2 linked regions of the Rhinolophus ferrumequinum genome follow. The protein of the gene in region 1 purifies or fractionates together with the protein of each later gene. This does not show direct contact. Links are inferred from orthologs where the notes say so. Each region holds a gene or a part of one and is shown on either strand. Other genes may lie near its edges.

Region 1 (14,905 bases):
GGGCCTTAGCTAGATGTGAGGGGTAGAATCAGCTCCAACCATACAACACTAACTGAAAGTGAGCAATGCTTGGTGTCACAAAGGAAAATCAGGCACTGCTATCAAAAGAAGGAAGAAAGGAGGCCAAAAGGTGCACCAATAAATGTTGCTATGGGACATATAGATCTGTCTCACCAAGTGTGATAGTTTAGTGTGTTATTTTTGTTTGTTTTTTTTTTGTTGTTTTTCCAGGACCCATCAACTTCAAATCAAGTAGTTGTTTCAATCCAGTTGTGGCGGAAGCAGCTCACAGTGGCCCAAGTGGAGATTAAACCGGCAACCTTGTTGTTAAGGGCACCATGCTCTAACCAACTGAGCTATCCGGCCGGCCGATAGTTTAGTTTTTAACTTGACAATCGAATCATAACTTGTTTAATTAATCTATTGCCTAAGCTATTCTTATTAAATAGTCTTAACTATTATATTTTATACTTACATTGCCTGATTTTAAAAAAATATAAGTATCTTTAGTATTCAACTTATTTCATATTTGTTACATAACACATACAGCTTTCTCATTAATTGGCAGTGCTTCACAATAAATATACCATGTGTTATGGGTTGATTTATGTATCTCCAAAATATGTGGAAGTCCTAACCCCCAGTACCTCAGAATGTGACCTTATTTCGAAATACCGTGTTTCCCCGAATATAAGACCTAGCCGGACCATGAGCTCTAATGCGTCTTTTGGAGCAAAAAAAAATTAATATAAGACCCAGTCTGATATTATATTATATTACACCCGGTCTTATATTATATTAGAATAATACCAGGTCTTATATTAATTTTTGCTCCAAAAGACACATTAGAGCTCATGGTCTGGCTAAGGTCTCATTTTGGGGGAAATACAGTAGGGTCTTTACAGAGGTAATCAAGTTAAAATGAAGTCATTATCGTAGACCCTAATCCAGTATGAGTGGTATCCTTATAGAAAGGGGAAATTCGGATACAGAGAGAAACCCACAGAGGGAGACCATGTGGAGATACAGGGAGAAAATGGACATGTGACGAGTGACGTATCTACAAGCCAAGGAACACCAAGGATTGCCAGCAAACACCAGAAGCTTCTAGAAGCAAGGAAGGATTCTTTTCTAGAGCCATAACAGTATGACCCTACTGACACCTTGATTTCAGACTTCTGGTTTCTAGAACTGTGAAATAATAAATTTCTGGTTTTAAGCCACCGAAATTTTGGTACTTTGTTATGGGATCCTTAGAAAACTAATACACTGTACTAACTTTCCTGGAGGACTCAACTTCAAAAATGTCAGTGAAATGCAAATAAAAACAACAGTGAGAACATTACTTTATGTGTAAAAGACTGGCAAAAATTAGAAAGGTGGGTTGTACAGTCAGGTTAAGAAACTACTATATGAATACACCACAACGGAAAACAGAAACAGTATCGTATCAAAGCTGAAAGAAAAGATAACTTCACGTAGGGAATAATTAACAGTATCAAATGCTGCAGAGATATAAAAATAAGATGTAAAAGGTATCCAATTCAATTAGCAACTAAGAAATATCATTAGTGACCTTTGGAGAAGTTCAGAGGAAAAGTGGGGGTAAAAGACTGTAGTTTGAGAAATGAATAGGAAGTGAGACACTGAATATATGGAAGGTAGATGACTTTTTCCAGAAAAACACATAATCATCCACTTGACAACCTTGATAACAAGCTGTAGTTTTAAAAAACAGGGAATGTAATGGATTAAAAATACGTTCATAAAGCCTTTGACAGGCTTCCCTTCAAGGGGCGGAGCTTAATTTCCCCTGCTCTTGAGTGCCAGCTGGACAAAATGACTTGTTTCTAACAACAACAACAAAAATATGGAGGAAGTTATGGTGATAGCCTCTCACAAAAGGCATGACAGCTTCTTCCTCTTTCTCTCTTTCTTGGAAAACTCACTCTGCAGAAGACAGTTGTCTGATCATAAGGACCCTCAAGCTGCCCTATGGAGAGAAACTGAGGCCCTTGCCAGAAACCATGTGAGTAAGCTGTTTTGAAAATGGAGACTCCAGCCCCAAGCAAAGCCTTCAGATCCTTGTAACTCCAGCTTACATCTTGACCAGCGCCCCGTAAGAGACCCTGAGCCAGAACCACATAGCTAACCCACTCCTGAATTCCCAGCCCACAAACACTATGAGACAATAAAAATGTATTGTTTTAAGCTGCTAAATTTGAGGGTAATTTGTTACTTAGCAATAGATAACTAATACAGAGAATATACAGATAGTAAACAATTTAAATCCTCACATGGCTAATACTGGTACTTATTTCAGATAGATTTGAAGACATATAAAAGATTTCCCAGAAATCTCCCTTGTCTTTTATCCAAATTTGTCTAAATATCCATTCATATATGCTTCGTTTGCACTTATTTAGAAGAAAATCATATCATTTAATTTTAAGTGATGAGCAATTTTATTTTTTTATTATGTGGGTATTTAGATGTATACATTTTATGCTGGATTTATAAATTAATGATCACAAAAAACAATATCACTGTCTTCTAAAATTAGGAACACCCACATTTCATTAGTTTACAGTGTTATGTCTGGCTTTAGCATTTGTCATTTAAATTTGGGAAAACATTTGAAAGAAAGTAATCAATTTTTATTGGTTTCATTAGAACATTTTCTTTGTCAACTTTGGGAATGGAATTTATACTTTGTTGGTTTTCTTCCTTTCTCTATAAATTACCTTTATAATTTTCTTTGTTTACCTTTTCTCTACTCAGAAATCTCTACTTTTTCTTTAGATATACAAAATATGTTTAAAAAACCATTTCAAACTATAGCTTTTTAAAATTAGATCATCGATGCACAGAATTAGACTAATCGTACTCTTTGGTTGATGGCCCACTATCAACACTACCCTTTCCCCACCCTTTTTAAATTAATTTAAATCAGTTTTAATACTCCATCTCCACCCCCAGTTTCTTCCCTGCCCAGATCCCACACCCAAAGATTCTGTTTGAACTAGTTTGGGGTGCGACATGAGTCTCACTAGTTTTAAGAATCTGTCCAGGTGATTCTAATAAGTAACCAAGTTGAGAACCCGTGTGTAGGGGATCCTTGCTATACAAACGTGATCCTAAGACCAGAAGCGTCTGCTTCACCTAGGAGTATGTTAAATGTGCTGAATTTCCGTTCCCATCTCAGATCCACTCCATCAGAATCTGCTTTTTAAACAAATTCCCCAGGTGATTATAAGCATGTTCAAGTTTGAGAGACACTGATACGAGCATGGGCTAGATTCAAATCCTGACTCTACCATTTATTAGCTATGTAAACTTGAATAAGTACTCAACCTCCTTGTACCTCAAATCCCTCATTGGTAAACTGAGAATAATAGTACCTACAATCCACAGGGTTGTTGTGAGGATTTCATACAATATTGTACTAAAATGTTTAGAAAAGGGCTTGACTCATAGTAAGTGCACAACAAATGTTAAGTATTATTAATTACCTTTCCTTGGCTTAACTTTTAAACATTTGGTGAGAGTTGTTAAAATATATATAATATTTTTTAAACTTTCAGAGAACAGAATTTTAAGGCCCACTCTCTTAGTAGTTGTTATTATAAAATGAATTATTCACTTTGTGGTTCTAATCACATAAAACATAATTTCGAAACTGAGCGTGATGTGTAGAACCCAGCTGCAAAAATTTAAAATCAGCTACATGCAGCTGCACTCTGGTTCCCCTAATTCATCTAATAGCTTTTAGTAGGTTTTATAAGTGACATTAGAAAAGGCACAGCAGATGTGCAAGACGGCTCCTGAAATCTAAAGTGGGACAGATGGTTCTCTGATTGATGGACAGCATGAGGAGCACTGCAGCAAGGGTCACCTACTGTGGAGGATACCCCCCACCTTCCACCCCCCAACCATTCTGCCTGCAAACGAAACTGTTATCCAAGAAAGAAAAGCAGGGATGGCTATTCAGAAAGTCTTTGTTTTCAAATATTCATTGTAGTGAAAAGATTCTCCGCAAAAGAGTCACCTAGATGTGGAAAAAATGTCTCCTGCTCTCGCCTTCGACAAAGAACTGACTTTTTGCACAGTTACAACAAAGTAGGCAGATTTCATGTTTGGACACAATACTCAGGATACTGGAGCTAGAGCTGAGATTTAAGAAAGAACAAAGAAATAATGTAATTGGATTTATCAGCCACTGAACAGCATTGATTAGTACCAGACTATTTCATTATTAGAAGCCCTATATTGCCTTTAAAAATAAACTTGTTTTAAATTTTAATTGGAAAGCTGGACAACTACCGTGTTTCCCTGAAAATAAGACTAGGTCTTATATTAATTTTTGCTCCAAAAGATGCAGTAGGGCTTATGTACAGGGGATGTCATCCTGAAAAATCATGCTAGGGTTTATTTTTGGGGAAACACGGTTTTTGCAATTGTTAATCAGGAATTTACAGTGTAGGCTACATCTCTGCTTACCCCTCTCTCTCACTTTTTTTTCAAATTCCTTTCTAGTACTTCAGATCTTCAAGAAAAAAATTTTTTAAACCTCACATTTATTGCATGTCAACTAATGGCAAGACCCTATGTTAGATGCTTTCTTATAACTTTTTGTGATTTAGGATCTCAGAGATACTAATCGACTCAGTGTTTTTAGGTTCATATTAATACGAATGGGCCCGTCATTTTATTGATGTTTCTCTTCTCTTTTTCTGTAAAAGGGAAATCAAGCACAAATTATGCACCAGGAAAGTATGTCCAAGCATAAGTTCAGAAGTGGACACATGAACTACAGAAGACCAGACATGTCCAGTTCCCATGAAGACTGAGATTTGGTGTTGCTCCCCAGGGCAACTCTCTAAAGCTGAACCACTAGGAGCCCCTGTACTGTCTCCTTGTATCTCCACCTCACCAGCTGCACCTTGGCAGGCCTGCCATGTTCCCTGAGCAACTAGAACATAAATATCTCCAGCAACCCCAAGGGCTCCTTGCCCAGAATAAGCAGCAATGTGCCCTTGTGCTCAATTTTCTTACATTTAGGTGGTGAACAGTTGAATGTTGTCCATTGCTCTCATCACCTGCGGAGTACAGAGCCATGCCATTAGGCTTTATTTCCATCATAGCTAGCTCTCCTCAGAGGACCTCAAAGAAGGTTGTTCAAGCTACGGACAATTGGCTGGGGAGCTCTTCACACAGCTCATCCCAAAGGCTGAATGGATCAATGCTTGTGGTACATTCACGGAATATCAGCTGGGAAATGTACCTTATGCTATTAATTATCCCTTCTCACTCCCATATTTTCAACTCTCTTTTTACTGGTTCTTCCCCTTTAACAATTACAGTCAAGTCTCTATGGAATTAAAAAAACAAAAACAAAACTAACCTTCATCCATTCTTTATTTTCCCCTCAGCTACCATTCTATGTCTTCCTTTCACCAAACAGCTAAGCTTTTGGAAAGAGTAGTCTGCATCTTTCTCCATGTTATCCCCAATCACTCTTCTCATCCCATTATAATGTAGATGTTAATGAAACGACTTTTGCCAAAGTTATAAATAACCTTATTGCTATATTTAATGGCTAGTTCTCAGTCCTTATCAGCATTTGATATGACTGAACATTCCTTCCTTCTTAGGACATTCTCTTCCCTTGGCTTCTATGACGTTACATTTTGAGGAATGAGTATGTGTTGAATACCAAGACTAAGATACAACCTCTACCCTCAGGAAGCATAAATGGAAATATGCTGAATAATAATTGTGATTAGCAGTTCCAGAGTTCATCGGAAAAACCAAATTTTTCTTGACACTGAAATCAAGGAATTTATTACACGGGTTTCATTTATATGAATTAATGAATACCCTAAATAATTCCTTTATAAATAATTTTTTAAAAGTTTTGTCTAACAAGTGGGCATTTCTTATGGTGATGTTTCGTTAGATCTTAGTTCCGTGAATTGAAGTGAGTTGATTTAATTTAATCTAGGTAGATTTTTTTTTTTCTGGTTATCTCACAGTTCAAGGGGGGAAGGGGAAAGGAGGAGGGGGAAGGGAGGTAGAAGAAGGGGGCAAAAAAACATTTAAAGCACTGAGAGTCTTCATTGGCTAATAAATCCAGTAGCCTCTATCAAATGTGAATCAACTTCCAGTTTGGATCTTACCAATTTATGAATTATTTGTTGCATTGCTCAAATTACCAATGGACTCAATACCTCTAAATGCCAGAATGCCAGCACAGAAAATGGCAATTTACCTTGAATGTTTAGAATCTTACTTGTTCCGACACAAACAGCACCATACCCTGTCATCAGTAGAAGTCCAATTTATGAATTGACTTGAATGCTGAGAAATATGTGAGCAACGGAAAATATACTCATCAATAGCTACCATTTGTTAGGCCTGGCTCACCGAATATAAAAAATATGATAAAACAGGATTCTGGAATCTTACAATCTAGTCAGAAAAGATTTTGCTTTAAGCATAAAGTTCACTCATTATATCTTTTAATTTTCTTATTTTTGTTTTTTCCCTTATAAAAATGTACTCAGCAAATTCATTTACGAAATGTTTATTGATTTCATACTATGTACCAATCATTTTGATGCCAGACAGGCTCCTTCTTTCCTGCATCTTTTATTTTAGTGAGTGGAGACAGAGAGACAGTCAAACAAATAATTGTTTTAGATCATAAGAGCTATGAAAATAAATGAGGTAACATGGGAGTGTATTTTAATTGGGTGATCAGGGAGTGGCCTCTTTGATGAGGTGTCTCAGGTGACATCAGCTGCAACCTGAGACAAGTTCATGTAAACAGTGTTCTCAAAGAAGTTAACAGCAATTGCAAAGGCCCTGAGCCCAGAACCAGCTCGACATGTCCCAGGAATGAAATGAATATTAATGACTAACATTAATTATCTTAGAGTGTAAGATATATTTGGGAGTGTAAAGATTTATAAGCCAAGGTCTGTGTCCTAAAGCTCTGTAACAGAGACAGACATAAGCAAGAGGATCAACACAGCACAGAGCAACATTGTAGTAATAGAAGTATGTACAAAGCAAAGAGGTGCTAACTAAGAAGGAGGACTGATTAATTTTCTGGGGTGTGTGTCATGTGGGAGACCCTGCTCACTGCGCCATGTGTTGTGCAGGGTGTCAGGTGGGGTCTCTGCTCCTGCTCCCCACATAAGAACGCAGGACATGGTGAGGCCAAAAAGGAACACCCACGGAGCCATAGGTAGGAGAGTCACACCACTATACTCTCGCTGGCGGCTGGGTTGAGAAACAGGAAACGGGAGCAACACAATTCTCAACCCTCACTGCGCCGCTTGCAGGCTCAGCCACCATCTTCTTGCTCGCCCCCATTTCCTGCTAGCGTAGCCATGGCAGTTATATTAGTGCCCAATGGCTCACTGGTTACAGCTGACGGCCAACTAGCCACAGCTGATGGCCATCCGATCACAGTTGATGGCCATTTACTACCTGAGCCAGCACCTTTCTATGTGAGGCCGAGAGCCTGGAAACTGCTTTTTGGGGCTCTGTCCCCACTGTGTTTCAGGGAAGGCTTCACAAGGGAGGTAATGTAAAAGCAGGATTTTTGAATATCAATAGTTGACAAGGCAAGGAGGAGGCTGGGAGCTGGGAGACTGGAGACAATATACAGGCTGTTTCTTATTGGTGAACATGACAGTAGAAGAAAGCGAGGCTCAAGAGGACACAGGCCAAGCCAGGAAGGGCCTTATGTACTGTGCATGATGGGAACAATTAAAAGGCTTTCAGGAAGGAACTACAGGACTGGATTTGTGTTTTACATGGATCACTATAGGCTGTCTCTCTTAAATAGATCTGTGGGAGAATAAATGTGGGGCAGCTCCAGAGGCAGCAAAAATGAAAGGAGGATAGAGGCAGAGGGTCTCAGAAAGACGAGAGGTTTTTAGTTGATGAAACAAAGGGGTAGGGATGATTGTTCACTGTCAAATCACCAATTAACTTTCAGTACCTGGCTCATAGGAGGCAATCAGTATGTGCAAAATGAATAAGTGAACGAATGGTGTTTAGGTGTGGGACAGCATGATATCTGATGCACAGAAGTCACAAGCCCCGCATTCAAATATAAACTCTTCCAAGAGAGAACAGTTGAGTGCTTAAGCCTCTTTTTCGGTGTGTTGCTTTAATCCTAACCACCTATGAGGTAGGTGTTCCTTCCATTTTTCAGATGAGAAAAACCTGAGGCTCAGAGAGGTAACCCAGCATGCCTGATGTTCTAGAAGTAGTCAGAGGCTAGACTCAAAACCGGTCTGGCACGCAGCCAGGTGCGCTGGCTTGGTAATTACTACTTTCTACTACTTAGCCCGGAGGCTCGAGGAACGGAATGAATTATGTAAAGCCTGCAGAGACATCTAAGAAAAATCGGTAATTCTCAACAAAGAGATGCAAGGGGGCGGGGTTCCAGAACTTTCCGGCCAGGCGGTCACTAGAAGACCAGAGCGGTGCGTCACAACAGCCTTTAGCCAAGCTTCCCCCCGTTTTCCGGGGCGGGGGAGAGGGGCGGGGCGGGCTCCCCGTCCGCGGAGGCCAGCGCAGCCGCAGTGCAGCTCGTGAGCGCCGCGGCTGGGGGCGCAGGCCGGAGGGTCACGCACTGGGAGGTGCAGAGAGACGCAGGCGCAGCGAGACGCAGGCGCAGCCGGCCGTTCCGAGACTACTCGCTTTACGACACCGCCGAGGGAGCTGACGTTTTTCCGTCCGTAGGTCGCTAGTGCTTCCGGGTTGCGGTCATTTTGTGCCCGTATCGGGGTGATTTCTGGACTGCGGAGTCGCTGTCCGCGCCTCACCGCTACCTCTGGTGTGGTGCTACTCGCCTCCCGATTTCCCCGCGCTTTCCCCCCTTCCTGACTCCTCTTAGGTTCCCTCCGGGCCTTCTGCCCCTGATCGCCCGGGTTCGCCGCGCCATCGCCTGTCGCTGTCGTCCGAGGTGGGTGAGCTGAGGCCGAGAGCCCGGTTCCGCCCCCCCACCTACCCACTCACCGCCTCAGCGCTTCCAGTTGCTACCTTGCACCTTCCGCCATTTTCCTGCCTGCGAGGCTGGACCGATCGCGCTTTGGGTCTCGGGCTCCTGCGTTTCGGTGACCTGGGGAAGAGAGGGAGTGTTTCTGGGGTGTGTGGATGGGACACATTCTTGGTGACGGTTGCGTTTGGGGGAGTTGCAGCTGGATATGCAGATATAGTAGATGGGGGATGGAGTGCGGGAATCGACGATGGCGGGACGACGTGGGTTCAATTCAGTTTTTTTCTTTGGGATTTAAGAGATGAAAATGATACTGTCCAAAGGGGCCGTGTCGGCCTTGATAGTCTCTTTTTAGGGTTTCTATGTAGGATGCTGTTTGGGAAATAAGAGGGTTTCATTTTTTTTACGGCTGTCTTGGGATTTAAGTAGTTCAGTTAAGCGTACTCCATCATCCATGAATTCATCTCACCCTTTTGTTCCTTTTCCTTAGCTAAGGAATTGGCATGTCTTAGGCCCTCAATGATGGCTTAATAAGTACGTAAATTATGGAAGGGCCCAAATTGCTACCCTCTTCATGTAGGCCATTAACCGTTTATATGTAAATTGTTTGGGAAGAATCATGATTCTATGGGAACATTCTGTAAAATACACAATAATCTGTTGGTCTCTTAAGTCATGAGCCATGGGTTAAAAACAATAATAAAGGTGTATGTTCTTGAAATGCTGTGCGTTTTTTGCGTGTCCTGTTTCTCTAAGTGTTCATTTGGGGAGGGAGGAAAGTTTGGAGGATACATAATTTGCTATTAGCTTTATACCACTGGGAAAAGGACATGACGTCTTTGTTATTCCATTTTTGGAGAGAGTTGTTTTGTGGGAGAGGTGTGTTTCCTGATGATGATGATTTTTTTTTTAATGGAATGACTTTGAGATTTTTTCCCTCCTTTATTTGGGGGAATTAACCTAATCATTGAGCATATATTTTTGAAAGGATCCAAACATAGGATAATGTGAAATAAAGCAGTGATAGGAGGAAAACTATGTCTTGTTTTATTGATGTCCTTTTAATAACGATAGAATCAGTTGATAAATACTATACTTATAAAGCATCTTTTTTTTTTTTTCTGTTAAGGAACCTAAGATGACTAGTCATTTCCAAATTAGTTAATAGGTCTGTGACTTTTTTATTTAGGTAACTTTATTACATATGTCAAGTATTTCAGACATAGTGTTTAGTAAATACTAGTTGATTGATTGCCATGTTGACTAGTAATTTTGCTGTACTATATCCTGACTTCGACCTATTTCATAATTATTTCTGATACTAAATATACATGTTTTTGATGCAGGAAAGATGAATGGGAGGGCTGATTTTCGAGAGCGGAATGCAGAAGATGTTCCAAGACCAATTCCTCGTAACTATCAATTACGTATTTATAATTAGAAGCACGATCTCTGTAGAGAAATTTTTACTGCCATGAGGAACAGTATAGTAGCTGGGCTGGCTGGCTTCTTGGGTATATGACCTGTGCAGTCACACAGGGACCCACACTTTGTTAATGATCTGTTGCCATCTTGAAATTCTTAATAATTTGAACAAGGGGTCCCAAATATTCATTTTGCACTGGACATAGCACATTATGTAGTCAGTTCTAACTAGCAGATAGTAACATTAACTTCTGTTTGAAGTCAAAGTTTGTTAAAGGATTTCAAGCCAGTTGTTTCATTAGTTCATTAAAAAAATGGGTATGTTTTGTTAATGTATAAAATAAGATAATTTTTTAGACTTAGTTGTTCCATAGGTGTTTTAATGTTTGTCGATTTTCCTTGGTAAAAAGACATAGGGGCTGATTACATTCCAACAGAGGAAGAAAGAAGGGTCTTCGCAGAATGCAATGATGAAAGCTTCTGGTTCAGATGTAAGTTACATTTTCTAATCAACAAAATTTGACCTTTAATACCTGATATTTTAATGACTTCGTATAGAAAAATTGGCACACTTTTGGCATAGTGTGTTTATTACTAAAAGAGGTTGATTAAGGAAATAGAATTGTACACATTTTAAAGTAATAAATTTCTAGAACTTTCTCAAGACAAGTATTTTTGTTGGTAATAGTGATAGCATTTACTGAGTGTACATGGATTATATATTTTAAAAAGCTTAATAAGGTTGATAACTATTACTTTCACTTTACAGATGAAGAAATTGAGTTTAGAGATGTGAAACGAGTTATCTAATGTTACACAGCTGTTAAGTCATGATGTCTTGAAGCCAGGTCTGACACAGAAGCTCATGGTTTTAACTCTTAACTTTTAATCATTACATGATAAAAACTGATTACTTCCCACTAATCATACTGAAATGCTATTACATTACCAGCTTTTGATTTCTGACTAGAGACTTTATACATGAAGATTTTATTGTTTTAAATACAGAAACTATTGAAAGAAACATAAAACGTTATCTTACTTTTGAACAGAACCCTTGGTGTTCCTTCACTTGGTCATTGCAGTCCTTTCAGATAAGGTAATTCTAACAAAAAAGCAGGATGGAATTTTTAAAGGATGGGGTGACTTAGGTAATTAAAGAGGATGGACATTTTCATCAGTCAGCCTGGTATTTATGCTTTCAACATATAATTATAAGGAGACAGACTAATAATCACGCATTAGAAAATTTTTTACTTTCCATTTGTTTCTTCAAATAAGGATATTCTACGTATTTGTGATGTTTACATGTATTTAATAAGAATAATGGAATCCATATTTCTATGGAGAGTTTTGTGTTTATTGATTTACAAAGATTGTGATGAAAGTAGGAATGTGTGGAAAAAGTACTTACTAAGGTAATTTTTACACGTTTTTAAGTTTGTTAAATGCTATCTTCATCTTGGTTTAAAATTAGACTTGTTGATCTAGGGTCCATTTTTTTCCTTAAGGTGACTTTATTTCTACTGGGATCTCCTTTCTGTTAATTTTAAAGCATAATTCTGAAGGCATCTTATTTGCAGTTACTTATAATTGTGACCCTATGCACTGACAACACCATTTGTAGCTGTGCCAAACATACAGTTAATGAAAGAATGTACACAAGAGGGGTTAGTTTAGTGCGTATTATACGTTACAGTTCTCAACCTCTGGAATTACTGAAAAGGTGTATGAATTCATAGTTGTTTCATGCATCATTTATAGATCTTTGTGAATGATATTTTATACATGTGTACTCCTGGTTTTCAAGTGAGTAAGTGTAATGAGAGATAAGAGCACAGGCCTGACTATCTGGATTCAAATCCCACCTCCACACGTATTGTGAAATTTCAGGCAAGATCCTGATGTCTGTGTTTGCCTTGGTTTCCTTATCTGTAAAATGGGGATAATAATTAACCCATCTGATTTAATTGTTATGGGGATTAATTCAATTTATTATATAAATGTTAAGCTATCTTTTATTAAATGGTCGTTGGTGCTATTGTGATTAATGAAATAACAATTTCAATTGAAAACAATTGTAATTTAGAATAGCACTGTGCTATTGTAAGTGAAGAAGAGTTAAAAGATTTTTAGGGGTCCTTGTATTGGATATGGTTGGGACCATGGTCATAATACAAAACAGCTTTTGGACAGCAGTGTCAGCAGTTTGCCTAAGACATTATTTAACAGTCTCTGAAATGGTACTCCTGGTATAGTGGAAAAGGCCACTGACATGAGAGTCAAGAGACTTGGGTTTTGATCTAAGCTCTTCCACGAACTAACCATGGCTATTGCTTTGAGCAAATGACTTGTCCTTTCTGGATATCAATTTACTCTGATTAGGATGAAGACTAGACACTAAGCTCTGAAGTCCCTTTCAATTTTACCATTCCCTTTTCCTGTGGGGGAATACATGAGTTGGAAAGAGACCTTACTTCTAATCTATTAATCTTTATAGCATGAAAAGAAGAGATTTATGAGAAGACATAGTGATAAATATCATAACTATTAGGTTGGTGCAAAAGTAATTGCTGTTTTTGCAATTATTTTTAACCTTTTAAACCTCAATTACCATGTTTCCCCGAAAATAAGACCTAGCCGGACAATCAGCTCTAATATATCTTTTGGAGCAAAAATTAATATAAGACCCGGTCTTATAAGACCCGGTCTTGTATGATATAATATAAGACCGGGTATAATATAACATAATTAATATAATATAATGTACCAGGTCTTATATAAAACCGAGTCTAATAGTAATTTTTGCTCCAAAAGACGCATTAGAGCTGATTGTCCGGCTAGGTCTTATTTTTGGGGAAACATGGTACTTTTGCACCAACCTAATAGTACTACAGTCTCCGTAAACAGACTGTTACTCTTTGCATTGTACCGTCTTCGTCTAAGAAGAAAGTGAAATAGGGAAAGCATTATCCATTGGAGAGATGGCCAACTAACTCATAGCTAACTCATCATTTCATCCGTGTATGTTTCTTCATGTTGCAATCCTTGAACCAAGTTGAAGGAGAAAAATGGTTGCAAATTGTACTGATGCTGTAATCAAAAGGGAATTGTCCTTTGAAAAACCTTAGATAATAATACATGAAGCCACTCTAACCAACCAACAATACAGAAACTATTTTTCCTGATAGGTAATATTTGTTAGTAAGTAGTAGAGTGAGGATTCAAACCTTAGGGTTTCTGCAAATTGTTTCTGATGGCAAAACTAATGCCCTATTTCAAAGTTACAGATTTTAATCATGAACTCTAATGATGTCTTAATTACCTTCGTTCTTAAATTGCCCATATGTAGTCTAGACCAGAGTTGAGCAAACTACAGCCTAAGGGCTAAATTTGGTTTTCACATTTTCAAATGGTTTTAAATGGAAACAAAAGAATATATTTTGTTATATGTTAAAATTACTGATAAACAGTTCCCTATGCTGATTGATATAAAACTTTCCCTGAGTGATAAGTGGCTCACTGTGCCTAAGCTGCCTAAATTTTTAATTTTGCAGCCATAAAAAAGATTTTATTGGAACGCAGCTATGTTCATTTCTTTATGTATTGTCTCATTGCTTTTGCTTTAAAATGGCATTTGAATAGTTGGAACACAGACTGTTTGACCCATGAAAACTTGAAATATTTACCTTCTTGCTCTTTCCAGACCATTTCCCAACCTCTGGTCTGGAACTGCACTATCCAATGTGGCAGCCACATGTAACTGTTTAAATTTAAAACAATTTACAGCGGAAAGGATACCAAGCAAAATGAGTAAAGCAAAAAGGAATATGGGGTGAAGTCCAGAGGACACTGGGCAAAAGCTTCCAAGAGTCATCTTCCAGGGGAGGGAGGGAGGAAGAGACACACGATGTGCTAAATGTCTCTAGCTGCTAGTTAGTTGTAATAACACCTTTGAGGTGTTACCTAGGAAGGGATCTCATTAGAGACTCGGTACCTGAAATTTTTACTGGGGGCTGGTTATATACCTATCCTCAGCCTAGCAGGTCCCAAAATTCCAGAATCAGAAGGAAAGCAGGTGTTCAGCATAAAATATTTGTACAAGCCATTTAGGAACAGTGAGCCACTTATTCGGATAAAGTTTTGTATCGGTTTTGGGAACTGTTTACTAGTCAAGTTTCCAGACATCAGCCAATAACTTGCAAGCAGGTCTTCTTGAATTGTATTAATATTTTGTAATGTTTTCTTAAATTTAAAATGCTGCTTTTGTATTTCTACTGACTAGACTACAGCTTTTAAAAATGGAAAAATCTCTTTTAAAGATCTTAATTGTGCGACCTACTTCCTGGATGGTTTTACTGGTATATATTTTTCTGTCCTAATGAACTCAGACAAAATCTTTTGTTGATGTTGACAAGTTCTTTTTTCTCCTATAGCTGTGCCTTTGGCTGCAACGAGTAT
Region 2 (14,806 bases), on another chromosome or scaffold:
CTGGAGCGCCTGATGCGGACCTGGAGCGGAAGCTGCAGCGTCGCCTCGCGCAGTGGCCGCCGCGCTGAGCCCCCCGCCCGCGCCCGACCAGCGCCGCCCCCTCCGCGCGCGCTCCCGCTGAATGCTGGCGGCCGAGCACGCGGTGGCCACAACGCTGCAGGGCGCCTTGTAAGGCAATCGGCCGTCGTTGGCTGCCGCCTCCCTCCTTGGTCATTCATGCCGGTTCCCGCTGGCTCCAGCCCCCCGGCGGCCTGGCTGGGCCGGCCCCAGGGCCTTTGCACCACCGGTGTCCTCCATCCGGAAGTCTCTTCACCCACATGTTGACAAGGCGCCCTGCGTGCCTTCAGGTCTCTGCTCTGTCCATGCCCTGGGGTCTAAAACAGCATCCCTTCCCTAGCCCAGCCCTGCCACTTCTGCCTCTCTAGCCTGAGCCCCCATCAGCACTCAGTTGCAGGTCAACCACAGCCTCCTCACTGGACTCCCTCTGTCCTCTGAACACACCCTTAACCTCCCCTACCCCAGTCTCTTCCCCACCCAGCAGCCAGACCATTCCCTTTGAGATCAGTCACCCATGGGCTACAAACCCTCCCATGGTTTTCCGTGTCACTCCAAAGCATGAGTCCCTACAGTGGCCTGAGGACTCTGTACGATCAGTCTCCCTTCCCCATCACTTCTCTGGCCCCTCTCCACCCACTTTCCCACTTGCTCAAGTAGCTCCAGCCAACTCCAGCTACACTGGCTCCCTAAGTGGCCCTCCAACACAACATGCATGGGGTGTGTACCATACATGGCCCCAAACACACAAACATGCACCTGCCCCAGGGCCTTTGCACTCACTGCCTCTCTGCCAGGAATGCTCTCCACTCATCTATGTGCTTGGCTTGCTCCCTCACTCCATTGGGTCTCAGCTCAAATGTCACCTCTTCAAACAGGCCTCCCCTGTCCGTCCCCGCCCCGCCCTGTTTGCAGAACAACCATCAATGCAAAATCACCTTCTGTGTCTTTTCCTCACCAGAGTATCCACTTCCCAAAAGGGTCTCTGCTGACCCAGCCTAGGGGAAGTGCTCAGGAAATAAGTGCTGGGTGACCGAAATCAATCCTTCATCCAACGAGTGGATTCCTCCTACCCAGTTCCATTGGTCCTGATGCCCCTCCCAGGGGGTCCAGGCCTCACCAGAGATGCGGAATGGGTGCCCTGGCTGTTGACAAGAACAGGTCTACACAGGCCACAGCTGTAGGGATCCAAGGAGTCGCAGGGTCCAGGAGTGACCTGCTAAATCCATCTTCCAGGGGTCTCCTGGCATGAGAGACAAAATCTTTAAGAGGGTCCATGGAGCAGGCAGAAGTTTTTTAAAATCATCTTTCCTGACCTCATCTCTCACATGTACTCTGTCCAAAAATCGGTAAGTCTGAGAAGGCCCCCTCCAGTTCTTATCCCCCCACCTTTCTCAATTGCCCCTCCCAGTTCACTCAAGGAGGCTCCAGGAGCCCCCGCACTTGGCTGCACGGGCCCCACTCCCAACTGCTCATCTCTGCAAACAAGGTTTCCTAGGGCTTAGAAAAGAGGAGAGGGCCTGATAGTGAGCTCCACCTCATGCTGGCAGTAAGTCCTATTGGACACAGACTGGAACCCATCTCACTTGCTCGTTTGATGATTATCCCGGAAGAAACATGATCAGAGTCCTGTGGTCACAGGCAATAAAAAGAAATGTAACTTACATACATTTACGTTTTGGAGAAGTACGAGTGAGGAGTAACAAAAGACTACCCACGTGAAGAGAGATGGCACACAGAGACTTCTCTGAGGGGCAGCAGACGAAAAGTGGAGGCAGGAATAAAAGGGCCCACTTCCAAAGTGAGCCTGAGCAAACAAACTGCCTGGCGCAGAGTTTAAGATGGACATAGGTATCAATTTAGCAGGTGATTTCGATGCTATTGGCCTCGTGTAAAAAGTGATATCACAATTTTTGTTTGAAGTCAGTATTTACAATATACCTGAATTACACCCTTCACAACTATTTACATATCTGTTGAAATATTGTATTAATAGATGTAAACTTCAAAATGGATGTGTGTGTGTGTGTGTGTGTGTGTGTGTGTGTGTGTTGGGTAGTGATGGATAAAGAGTTTTTCAAAATCCTTTCAGGAGACCCTTTACAAAAAACTTAACTCAGGGCCCGCTGGTGGCTCAGGCGGTCGGAGCTCCATGCTCCTAACTCCCAAGGCTGCCGGTTCGATTCCCACATGGGCCAGTGGGCTCTCAACCACAAGGTTGCCGGTTCAATTCCTCGAGTCCTGCAAGGGATGGTGGGCAGCGCCCCCTGCAACTAAGATTGAACATGGCACCTTGAGCTGAGCTGCCGCTGAGCTCCCGGATGGCTCAGTTGGTTGGAGTGCGTCCTCTCAACCGCAAGGTCGCCGGTTGGACTCCCACAAGGGATGGTGAGCTGCGCCCCCTGCAACTAGCAATGGCAACTGGACCTGGAGCTGAGCTGCACCCTCTGCAACTAAGACTGAAAGGACAACAACTTGAAGCTGAATAGCACCCTCCACAACTAAGATTGAAAGGACAACAACTTGACTTGGAAAAAAGTCCTGGAAGTACACACTGTTCCCCAATAAAGTCCTGTTCCCCTTCCCAATAAAATCTATATAAAAAAAATTAACTCAAAGTGGATCATAGACCTAAATGTAAAATGCCAAACTGCTAGAAGAAAACACAAGAGAAAATCTGTCTTACCTTGGCTTGGTGATGAGTCTTTAGATACAATATGGAAAGTGTGCTTCACGAAAGAAAAAAATGACAAATTGGACTTTGTCAAAATTTTAAATGTTTGCTCTTCAAACAATACTGTTAAGAGAAAGAAAAGACAAGCCACGGGAGAGGGGGAAACCTTTGCATTTCCTGATAAATATGTAAAAAATGACTGGTATCCAAAATATATGAATACATGGAACTCTTAAAACCCAGGGGGTTAACCCAAGTAAAAAATGGGCAAAAGATCTGAGCAGACATGTCACCGAAGAAGAAATACAGAGAGAAAATAAGCATATGAAAAGATGCTTCGCAGCAAATGAATGAGGGAATTGCAAATGAAAACACCGAGATACCACCACACACCTATCAGGCTGGCCAAAACCTGGAACACCGATAACACCAAATGCTGGTGAGGATGTGGAGCAACAGGAACTCTCATCCATGGTTGGTGGGAATGCAGACTGGGGCAGCCACTCAGGAAGAGAGTTTGGTGGTTTCTTACAAAACTAAACACTCTCTTACCATAAGATCTGGCGATCCCACTCCTGGGTATTTACCCAAAGGGGCTGAAAACTTATATCCACAAAAAACCTGCAGCTTTACTGGATGTTTACCACAGCTTTATTCATAATCAGCAAACAGTGGAAGGAACCAAGATGCCGTTCAGTAGGTGAATGGATAAATTGTGGTCCATCCAGATAACGGAATACTATACGATGATAAAGAGGAAAGAGCTATGAAGCCGTGGAAAGAAATGAGTGAGTCTTAAATATATATTGCTTTGCTAAGTGAAAGAAACCAGTCTGAAAAGACTGCATACTGTACAATTCCATTTATATGACATTCCAGAAAAAGCAAAACTATAGAGACAGTGACAGATCAGTGGTCGCCAGGGGTTTGAAAGAGGGGGTTAGTGTTTGACCAAGGGAAGCCTGGGGGTGTTTAGGGCCATGAAACTACTCTGTGTGATGCTGTAATGGTGGATATGTGGCATTCTGCATGTGTCAAAACCCAGAGAACTAGATGGCAGAAAGAGTGAATTTTAACACATGCAAAATTAAAAATAATATTTCAGGAGATTGGGGCACCCCAGGAAGGAATGAGGACTGTGACCAAAGAATCTACGTGTATTACAAATGTACAAAAGCACCTCCCTGAAGGGGGTCCGGGGAAAGGGGCTGATCTAGTCACTTTGGAAATGAGTGGGGTCTGTAAGACCAAAGGCAAAAGGAATGGCATGTGGGCACTGAGCTCTAGTTGACAACATTATTCCCCACAAGGGGAAGGGGTGACAATTCTGAACCCGCTCTACATGTGCACTGGAATTAGACAGTTAAGTAAATGGAGGGCAGAGGGTGGGAGCCAGATTTTTCAGTGTTGATGTGGGGAGAGACAGACAAGCAAGGGGAGGTACTAGAATGATCTATGTGGTGATGGATCAGAGCTGGAGACATCAGTATGAACTTATGTTTACCTTAATATAGATACAGGTGCATATAGATATATGCATCTCTATGTATGTATAAGAAATACATATATAGGCCGGCCCGGTGGCTCAGGCGGTTAGAGATCCATGCTCCTAACTCTGAAGGCTGCCGGTTCAACTCCCACAAGGGATGGTGGGCTGCGCCCCCTGCAACTAGGAACGGCAACTGGACCTGGAGCTGAGCTGCGCCTTCCACAACTAAGATTGAAAGGACAACAACTTGACTTGGAAAAAAGTCCTGGAAGTACACACTGTTCCACAATAAAGTCCTGTTCCCCTTCCCTAATAAAATCTTAAAAAAAAAAGGAAATACATATATATATGAATGTCTGTAGATATGGGTATATACATAGCTTAGTATATACATAAATTTTCTTGCTGCCAGCTGAGAGAGCCTACAACGAATCACACCTCAGTAACAATGAGTACATTAGATCTTGGTTTCTAATACCTTTGTCCAATAAAGGGCTCTTTGGAGAAATGGCTGATTCTAGGGCTGGGGCAGGAAACAAACAAGATGAGTCTGAAGCTCCTTGTAGTGCCAGAAAGCAAGGAAATGTCCTCTCCTCTCCTCTCTTCTCCTCTCTTCTTCTTCTTCTTCTTCTTCTTCTTCTTCTTCTTCTTCTTCTTCTTCTTCTTCTTCTTCTTCTTCTTCTTCTCTCTCTCTCTCTCTCTCTCTCTCTCTCTCTCTCTCTCTCTCTCTCTCACACACACACACACACACACACACACACAGTGATGGGGTACGACAGAGACGCACAAGCCAACTGAAAGAGCTCCCAATGGCCAAGCTGGAACAATTTGAGCAACAAAATAAATAGAGTAGTATTGGATCATAACCAAAAGTATAAAATAAATATCCAGTTATAAATAGGTGATTAAATAATAAATAAATGGGGGAGAAGAGACAAGCTCTGTGCAGAAAATTCCAAATAATTTATATAGGTACTCACCCAACCCCCAAGGGCAAGCGTTACCCCCGTCCTCAACTGTGGGCTGCAAATGGTGACTTTGGTCCAAAGAGGACAGGCTGCAAAGGGGGCGAATTACATTGAAAGTGGAGACACCTGATGAGCAAACTTGAAGTCAGCCAGTTGAGCAAGATTGACATGGGCAGTGGCAGTCGTGCTGAGTGCATGGCACCTTGCTAGGATGTCGTGGGAGGGCGCTTCACCTCCGTGGTCCTCCTTTCCATAGCCATCACCCCAGCTACTCGGGACAGAAACAGCCGGCAAACCCCCAAGGAGCAGTCCCCCATCCGAGAGGACAGTCACAGCCAAGAGGAATCTAAGGAGACGTGACTCGTCATTACTGTCTCCTTAGATTCCTAGCAAGACGAATGCAGTGTGGGATCCACAAAAGGACGTGAGGGTCCAGCGAAGGCACTCTGCACAAGTCAGCGGACTTGAGTTCACCACAATGTACAATAGTGGCTGATCATTGTCACAAATGTACCAGGCCAATGCATATTGTCAGGTGTGGGTGCGTCGGAACTCTCCCGACTGGCCCTGCAATCTGTACATCTAAAACGATTCAGAAATTTTGTTACAAGTTTATTTCAAATAAAAACAAATGTGACAATCCTTTCTGGGTCTGTGTGGATAAGCACAGCAAGGGGTGCTGTGCAGGGGTCGGGGGGCAGGTTGCCCCTCCTCACCCCCAGCCCGGGGTGGGGGCCTGGCGCCATCCTCCCTTCCCCAGCTGTTCGAAGCACAAAGCCCTTCAAGGTGGACTCCAGCCTTCCCTTTGTTCCCAGCTAATTCTAATTCCAGAGCTCCTTGTACCCACAGTCTCCAGCAGAGGAGCCACACCCGCCTCCAGCTGCTGAGGTCCTCTCGGATTAACTGGTTGCCCCAAGGCGGGGCGCCCTCCCATCCAGCCCACTGTGCCACCCGGTGGGGTCTGCAGCCCTAGTCGTTGTGAGCAGTGGGTCCGATTCCCAAGCGTCCCTGGACAATGGGAGGCCCCCTTCCAGCGCTCCCTCCCTCCCCACCTCCTCCTGGCTCCTTCTCCAAAACCCCCCACTGCTTAACTGGCCTCTGAAAGGCTGCCCACTTTGGCTGCTGCCTGGGGAACACTTTGCTTCTCACCCAGGAGCTGCAGTAGGGCCACCCCCAACCCCTCCCGCATGTGCTCCGGAACCAGCCTTGAAGGTCTGTGGTTACAAGGACCTGGCAGGACAGGTGGAGGCTTAGATGTGGCTGCCAGGGACAGCTTCCTGGCCCTCTCAGCTGGGGTCCTGGGGCGTCCTCCCCAGCAGCTGCTGTCCCCAGGGAGGGGTGCAAGATACACCTTCGCAAAGCCCTGAGAACCCAGGGCTGGAAATCCCTCAGCCGTTGTTTCCCTTGAGTGCCCAGCACCCCTGATGAGCTGCCCCTGGAATATTGTAGCTGTCCCTATCAGCTGAACCGCTTCCCCAGGCTGCGAGGGTCAGCATTCCAGCCTCCAGCTCCCACTTCGGGAAACTCCGTCTTAAGCATCCAGCCAGAGGCAAGGATGGATTCATGAACTTTGACCACCTCACAAGCCCAGCTGCCCTGGCTGGGTAAGGGAGGGGGTGCAGGTTCGGGTTCGGGTTCGAGGGCTCCCTTGCCTCTCTCTTTAGCCTCCTGGGACAGGTGGCAGCTGACCTGAATCCTACAGGATCAGAGGGAGGTCAGCAAAGAAGAGGCACCCCAGGCAGTGGGCCTCAGCATGGGCCAAAGGCAGGGAGAGCAGGGAGGGCATGGACGGCTGCCCCTCAGTGCTGGGGAGCCCGTGGGCCAGCTGGTGCCCAATCTCGTAGCCTTGGAGAGGAATTGAGCTTGATCCCTAGTGTGGAGAAAAGCCCAAAGAAGAGCAGGTGGGGAGGCACTGGTCTGATCGGTGCTGCTGAGAGAAGCATGCAATGCCTGGGCCTCGAGGAAGAGGCCACTGTGGGGTCCAGGAGAAGGGGGGTGGGGGGAGACTGGGAGAGGAGGAGGGGGAGGGGAGATGTGGCCCTGTCTGGGGGCCTGCTGCACCTCCCAGATGTGTAAGCCCTGGCTCCAACATGGGAGACACCCTTTGAAGGCAGCAACCTAGAGCAGTGGGAGCCTGGGCCCCAGGAATCCCAGAGCTCACACAGGCCATTGGCAGCAGCCACCTTCAGCCTGGCCACCTCCCTCGCAGGCCACTTTCCCCATGTGCCATCAGTTCACCCACGTCCTTCTCCAGCTATTGCTTTCTGTCCCCACCACACTCCTTGGCCAAGCCTGATCTTCAGTTCTTGAAAGAGTCCCCTGCATCCAGACACGTCCTCACTTCCCCTTGCCTCTCCCTGCACTGTCTGGCCTCTGCCCACGTCTCCCCATCAGAAGCAGCCCTCACCCAGGGGGCCTGCTGCTCCAGGCCATCTATGGGCACTTGTCTGTCTCCAGACCAGCTTTAGTCCTAGGCTGGGCCAGAGAAGACTCAAGTTAGGGTCTTCTGATGAGCAGTGCCACCTCAAGGGTCCCCAAGCCCCCTGTGTCCCCCCACATGCCTCTTGAGGCTCCTCCAGCCAGCATGGGTGGAGATGCTGCCCCTCCCTCACCTAGCAGGCTCAATCTGGCTCTGACCGGAACTGCTTTTCTTCCTAAAGCCGCTGGATGGCTGAGGGTTTAGCTTAACGGGATGAGCCATCTGGGGACCGCAGCACAGTCATCAGGGAGCCTGGGACTTGGGGTGGGGGGGAGTGGACACTTCACATATTCAGTCAGGACAATGATCCCTTCCTTCCCCACCCCATGGCTGTTCTTGGCCTTGGAAAATTACAAACAGGCTGCTCAGCTGCCAGTGGAAAGGCAGCTGAACAACCTTGCTCTTGCTGGGGAGGCCTGGAGGTCCCTAGGGAGAAGAGTGCCAGGAGTGGGGAGCTAGGACCTCCCAGCTGAGGCCTTTGGGGAAGGGTCTGTGCACCCAGTAGGCACCAGGGGGCAGCCTTACCCAATTCCTGTCTGTGTCTTCATAGGGTCTGGCAGGGGTGGGGGCAGCGGGGTTCCCTATGACACCCACCTTGGTGAAATTGTGTAGACTTGTGCCTCAGCTAGGCGGGCTCCCCTCTGCCCCTTGGAAGACTCATAGAGATCAGTCACCCCAAGAGCTGGGACCTTGACTTCCACCTTCCAGGGCTGCACCCCTTGGGGAAGGCTGAATGCCCAGAGGAAGCACGGTGGTAGCTGTGGCAAAACCTAACAGCACACCTGCAGGCAGACATTCCCACCCCCAGCCTTCCCTTGCTGGCCAGCTGGGCCCGGCCCTTCAGGAGGCCAAAGCACCCTGCACCCCCTCTGGTGCTCAACACTGGCCCAGCCCCCAGCCGGGAGTCAGAGAGGGGCCAGAGATGGTACAGGCTGGAAGGAGGGGGAGAAGGAGAGAGGGGGCCAAGGATGGCTGGAAGGCAGCGAGGGAAGCGGCTGTCCTACAAGCGGGAAGGGCAGGTTACGAGGGGCGATCTGGGCCGGCACTAGGCCCAGATTAACCTGGGGTCTGGGGCGGTTTGGCCCCTGGGGAGGAGATGCTGGCGGGCGCCCCAGGTAGCAGCCATCCTGCTTCCCGCAGGAGCGGCGTCTCGTCCTCGGGAGGAGGGCGGGAGGAGGTAGGCGGAGTGATGGGGAGGGCGGGAGGGAGGGAAAGACGGAGGAGGGGGAGGGGGAGCGGCCCAGTCGTGGGGGTGGGGCGACGGTGACATCACCGCGGAGTCGGTTCTTAAGCGGCAGCCGGTCAGGCCGGGGAGGAGAGGGACGATCGGAGCGCGGTGGCGAGTCGCTGAGCCCGCCGCGGCCCAGAGAGCGGCTGGAGCCGCCGCCGCCGGGAAGGAGGGGCGAGAGCGCCCGGGCCGCAGCCGCCGCCGCCGGAGCCGGAGTCGCCGCCGCCGGAGCCGCGGGCGAGCCAGGCAGTCGCGCGAGTCCGGGCCGGGGCGGGGGGCGCGGGCCATAAGCCCCTGCTCCGGCCGCTGCTTGCAGACAGTGGGCGCCCAATGTCTCCCGCGTCCCGCTAGGCTGAGCCTCGGGCCGGGCGAGCCGCCGCTACCGCCGCCGCCCGAGCCGCGGGCAGGAGCCTCGGGAGCCGCCGCCGCCCGGCCGGGCCCCGCCGCCGCCCGCGCGCCCCCGGGCCCCCGACACACATGAGATTCTTCAGGCTCACTTTCAAGTGCTTCGTGGACTGCTTCTGACCGCGCCGCCCGTCCGCCCCGCACCCCGCCCGCCGCCCGCCCGCCCGCCGCCCCGAACCCGGCCCGGCCGCCACCGGCCCCCGGCCGGCCCGCGCCTTCGGGGCCACCGAGCCGCCGGCGCTCCCCGCCGCCCGCACCCCGGCCCGGCCCGGCCGCGCCGCCAGCCGGGGCCATGGCGAAGAAGAGCGCCGAGAACGGCATCTACAGCGTGTCCGGGGACGACAAGAAGGGCCCCCTGATCGCGCCCGGGCCCGACGGGGCCCCGGCCAAGGGCGATGGCCCCGCGGGCCTGGGGGCGCCCGGCGGCCGCCTGGCCGTGCCGCCGCGCGAGACCTGGACGCGCCAGATGGACTTCATCATGTCGTGCGTGGGCTTCGCCGTGGGCCTGGGCAACGTGTGGCGCTTCCCCTACCTGTGCTACAAGAACGGCGGAGGTGAGCGCCCCCGCTCCTACGCGCCGTGGACCCTCCCCTGCCCGCCGCGGGCCCCACTGCGCGCCCCACAGGGGCGTACGGGCGAAGTCCAGAGGGTGGGGAAAGCCCCCAGGGTGGTCGGGGCCAGGGCCACCCCTCGCCGGCAGTGGCTGCTCGGTTGCCCAGCCTGGCGGCGTCCACCCCCTGGCTGGTCATGTGCCTGGCAGTGTGTGGGGGGAGGGAGCCAGGGAGCCTCCGGCCCAAGCCGCGGGGCTGCCCCCCCAGACTCCCGGAGCTCCGGGATTGGCCACTGAGGTGGGAAGGCGAGGCCTGCCCCCTGGGGGGGCTCCCAGAGGTGAAGAGCCCTGGCTGCCCCCGCCAGTCAGACACACAAGTGGCACATTGTGTGGGCCCCCCACGTGTGCACACACGAACACACACACACACAATGGGCCACTCTGTCCCTCCCCCTCCCCTCCCTTCCCCTCCCTTCCCTTCCCCAGCTCCTCTCTCTTCCCTTCCCCTCTCTCCCCTGCCCTCCCTTCCCCACCCTCCCCTCTAGCCCGGGCCTGGAACACTGGGTGCCTGAGCCAGGCTTGGGAAGCCTGAGGCCTGGGCCGCCCGGCGCTGCCGCTGGACACACTGCATACACACCCCATGCCCACTTGACTGCCCCAACCCAGCTTAGCAACAGCGATGGGCACGCGGGTCCTGTGACTGGAAAGCAGCACCAGGGTTGGTGGAAAGCCATGATGACTGGGTGATAGGTGGGAAACTGAGGCCCAGGGTGAAAGCGTTTGCCCAAGGTCATACACAAGAAGGATGCTGGGTCCAAGAGCCAGGCAAGCTGCTGAGAAGCCCAGCTTCTGAGCAGTGGAGACAGTTGAGCCAGGGGCAAGGGGAGAGGACCTGTGGAGGAGGGGGGAGTACACAGGGGTCTACTGGGGCCCAGCTCCCCCCACCCCAGGCCTGTGGTCTCTGGCCCTGCCCTGCATGCTGCCTCCAGAGCCGGGTGACCTCCCCTACAATGTCTGTCATCGCTCACTGACACCTTCAGACACCACCCCCCCAAGTCCACTGGCAGAGGACTGCCACCCACCCACCCTCTTCCCTGGACCTTCGCACTTGTAGGAGAGCGTGTAGGTGCAGGGAAGGCAGGGGCTCCCTACCCTCTCCCAAGCCAGGTAGGCCTCTGGGCCTGAGCGCCAGCCATAGCTCACACACACACATGCACACACATGCCCTCGCCGCCTTTCCTTCCTGTGCTGCCTGGCAAATGTGGAACTGCGACATGAGGGATGGCTTGTGTGTGCAAGCACGTGTACCCTCCATGCCCGTTAGGTCACCCTAGATGATTGTGGAGGCAGAAGCCTTGTGAGCATAGGAACCACCGCCCCCCCCCAGCCCAGGGAAATGGGCCACAGCACCCCTTCAATACTCCACCCCCCAGGGCTGTTCACCTGGGGCCCTCTGAGTCAGTGGCCACCCGCTGCACTGATTCACTCAGTGGGAAGTTATGATGGAGCTTGGGTGGAGCCTGGAGCCGAGGTTCCACCCCAGCCTTCCAAGGCTTCTGAAAGCTGGGCTGGGCCTGCACAGCCTGGCTGGGGGTTTGGGTCAAGTCCTCGGCCTGTGTCTCCTCCCTCAGGTGTGTTCCTTATTCCCTACGTCCTGATCGCCCTGATCGGAGGAATCCCCATTTTCTTCTTGGAGATCTCGCTGGGCCAGTTCATGAAGGCCGGCAGCATCAACGTCTGGAACATCTGCCCTCTGTTCAAAGGTGAGCAGCCTTGGGCCAGTCCCTCTCACTCTCTCCCTCAGGGTCCCCTCCCCTTTCCAACGGCTAGGGCAAGGCTGACACCCACCTGAGAAATCTCGGCCCACTGATGGACGCCCCCAGTCATGAAGGGGAAGCTGTCGATCATGGCGGGAGACCGCCCATGACCTTGGGCGGGCTGGGGCTAGAGTAGGGGATTGGATCCCTTCACCAGGGTGAGGACACCCAGGCCCAGCAGGGCTAGGGACAGACCCTGTAAACCACACTTGGCTCCCTGGGGCTGAGTGGAGAGTGGCTGGGTGCGAGAGACGATGGCTGGAGAAGCTGCCCCAGACGAGCTTTCCCAAGGCTAGAGGGCCAAGTTTATATGGGAGCCTTTGAAAGTTCAGATCTAAAGGGAAGAGCTAATAATGGCAGAGATCACCTTAGAGCCTCTTCTGTGTGGGGGCAGTGTTCCCCTATCATCTCTCAAGGCCTTGGGAGGAAGGTTTTAGTGTCCCTGAGAGGCTGGAACACAGAGAGATAAAATGATTGGCTGAGGTTGCCCGCTTAGAATGTGACTGACTCCCACAGTGCCCCAGCTCACCAGAAAGTCCCCCAAGCTGCCGAGTACCGGAGGCTACAGGGGACCAGATGGAGGCTTGGCCCTCCTTCAACTGCTGTGGTGGCAGTGAGACCCAAGAGAAGGGGACAGGTGTGTGAGACTAGGGAGTCGATGGGACTTAACGCTCAGATGGGGGCAGGGTGGAAGGGGCTCTGCCTCGGGCCTCAGGAGGCTGCAGGAGGCGAAGCCATGAGCAGGGGCTGATGTTTGGCCAGGGACATATTGGGGAGTTAGCCCAGTATTGGGACACTTGCCCAAGGGAAAGTCCAGGGGCTTGGTCAGGAGCGTGACAGAGAAGGACCTAGTGTGATGGATGGATGGTGAGGAGGGGGAGGACGGCAGATGCAGGGAGCAGGCCAGAAAAGACTCTCCACCGAAACTGCCCTGTTCCTAGGCCTGGGTTACGCCTCCATGGTGATCGTCTTCTATTGCAACACCTACTACATCATGGTGCTGGCCTGGGGCTTCTACTACCTGGTGAAGTCCTTCACCACCACGCTGCCCTGGGCCACGTGCGGCCATACCTGGAACACTCCTGACTGCGTGGAGATATTCCACCATGAAGACTGTGCCAATGCCAGCCTGGCCAACCTCACATGTGACCAGCTTGCTGACCGCCGGTCCCCCGTCATCGAGTTCTGGGAGTGAGTCAGGCGCTTCTGGGCCAGGCCGGGCCTGCCCCTCTCTCTGGGCTCCAGAGGTGGCCCGAGTCTTCATGGGGGGATTCGCAGCAGGAGTCAGTCCTGGGCCCTGCCTGCCCTAGGGAGAGACCCCTCAGCCTAGTCCTGGTGGGAGCCGGGAAGTATGGGCCTTGCTCCATCAGCACCATTTCTCACTCTGGGCACCGTCACTCTGTGGTGCCAGCCAGCCTGGGGGAGGGGGATGGCTGCCAGCCCCACCGCCTCTGCCCAGGGACTCCTGGGCGCCAGGCACATACTCTGTGATGCCTCCAGGCGGCAGGCTTGGGCCGGGGCCCAGCCCAGGTGCTGAGGAGGGACCAGCTGGACACAAGGGCTGCAGGAGGGAGAGCACCACCCCTGGAACAGCTCCTAGTCGCTTTGCTCTCTGCTGGCACAGCCCTCATGGGCTCTTCCTCCCCTAGGAGGAAAGTCTTACGGCTCTCCCGGGGGCTGGAGGTGCCAGGGGCCCTCAACTGGGAGGTGACCCTATGTCTGCTGGCCTGCTGGGTGCTGGTCTACTTCTGTGTCTGGAAGGGGGTCAAGTCAACAGGAAAGGTACAGCTGGAGGCGGTGGGGGGGTGTCTGCCGGGAACCATTGTTGCACCGGGTGGTGACCGGACCAGGGTCTGTGCCCGAGGAGGGGGCGGGTACTTTAATCCAGGCCACTTGATCCCCACCCCATGGCTGCACAGTCCTCCCAGCCTCCAAATCCAGGCCCAACAATCTTCCCTCCCCAGGGTGAGGGACCCAGGCAGCAGCTGCTCTTTCCCTGTGTCAGGGGTCCCCGTCCCCACCCTCCATCCCCATTCCTTCCTATGCCTCACTCACTATCTGAGTGTGTTTGGACGGTCTGGGTGGACCTCTCCTATGGCCCTCTCTGTCCCCCGACTGGCCCAGGTGGGAGTAGACACATGCCTTCCCCAGAAGCTGCCTGTCAGGTTCGGGAGACGAATGTGTAAACAGATGCATAATAGGACAGTTTGCCGAGGGCCGTGCGCCGTGGCCAGGTCCCAGGAAGGCTGGCACATTCCCAGCAGGGTCCACAGAGTAGCTGCTTCCAGAGCCGGCGGCCCCATTGGGCGGGAGGCAGAGGCCTTTGCTGTCCGTGTCACTCTTGTCTCTGTCTCTGGCTGGTCCACTTCTAATCCCAGCTACCAATGACCCCACCTCTCTGCATAGGATAATCTCGAGTCGGACACAGGAGGTGTAGGGCCTGCCCCCAGGCTGATGTCCCACTCCTGGCCCCGGGACGGCCCTGCCTCTGCCCTCCCTCTCAGGTTACATGTGCTTCCCATGGGGTGCTGGTGCCCCAGAGGAGCACCTGGCTTCCTTTGGGAGGAGCCATGGCTCTGAGGAGTATGAGGGGGCTCTTCCCCCTGGCCTCCCTCCTGACCTCTGACCTCACTGTCCAGTGGGGGGGACGTGGCCTGCCGTTCTCAGGCTGCCCATGCTGGGGGCTTCTAAGGAGAGGTGGGTGCTGTAGGGCGCCTCTGAGCACCCTCGCCCTCCAGATCGTGTACTTCACTGCTACGTTCCCCTATGTGGTCCTCGTTGTGCTGCTCGTGCGTGGAGTGCTGCTGCCTGGCGCCCTGGATGGCATCGTCTACTATCTCAAGCCTGACTGGTCCAAGCTGGGGTCACCTCAGGTGAGGTGGAGGCGGTGGGGTGTATACGGGGAACCAGCCCAACAGGACACTTCACACGTACTCTTCCCTGGCCCATGTCCAGGTATGGATAGATGCCGGCACCCAGATTTTCTTCTCTTATGCCATTGGCCTGGGCGCCCTCACGGCCCTGGGCAGCTACAATCGCTTCAACAACAACTGCTACAAGTAAGCACCCCTTCCCTGCCCTACCCTGCCCACCCGTGGGCAGCAAGCAGGCATCCTAACCAGCCCCCATGGTCTCCTGTGTC

Evidence for each region.
Region 2: the proteins of OCIAD1 (region 1) and SLC6A8 purify together in Homo sapiens (co-immunoprecipitation; 3 studies listed by BioGRID and IntAct, with this or other methods). This does not show direct contact. The link is inferred for Rhinolophus ferrumequinum from reciprocal best matches to the Homo sapiens genes OCIAD1 and SLC6A8.

The regions. Positions count from the first base shown.
Region 1 is NC_046288.1:7,731,810-7,746,714, reverse strand, and holds the start of OCIAD1 (OCIA domain-containing protein 1), read left to right. Parts: upstream 1-8,767; 5' UTR 8,768-8,986; intron 8,987-9,003; exon of another isoform or gene 9,004-9,169; intron 9,170-10,365; 5' UTR 10,366-10,370; coding exon 10,371-10,431; intron 10,432-10,854; coding exon 10,855-10,935; intron 10,936-14,880; coding exon 14,881-14,905. UniProt on the Homo sapiens protein: Maintains stem cell potency. Increases STAT3 phosphorylation and controls ERK phosphorylation. May act as a scaffold, increasing STAT3 recruitment onto endosomes. Involved in integrin-mediated cancer cell adhesion and colony formation in ovarian cancer.
Region 2 is NC_046284.1:6,729,320-6,744,125, reverse strand, and holds the start of SLC6A8 (sodium- and chloride-dependent creatine transporter 1), read left to right. Parts: upstream 1-8,976; 5' UTR 8,977-9,589; coding exon 9,590-9,851; intron 9,852-11,478; coding exon 11,479-11,610; intron 11,611-12,605; coding exon 12,606-12,855; intron 12,856-13,313; coding exon 13,314-13,446; intron 13,447-14,402; coding exon 14,403-14,537; intron 14,538-14,619; coding exon 14,620-14,723; intron 14,724-14,806. UniProt on the Homo sapiens protein: Creatine:sodium symporter which mediates the uptake of creatine. Plays an important role in supplying creatine to the brain via the blood-brain barrier.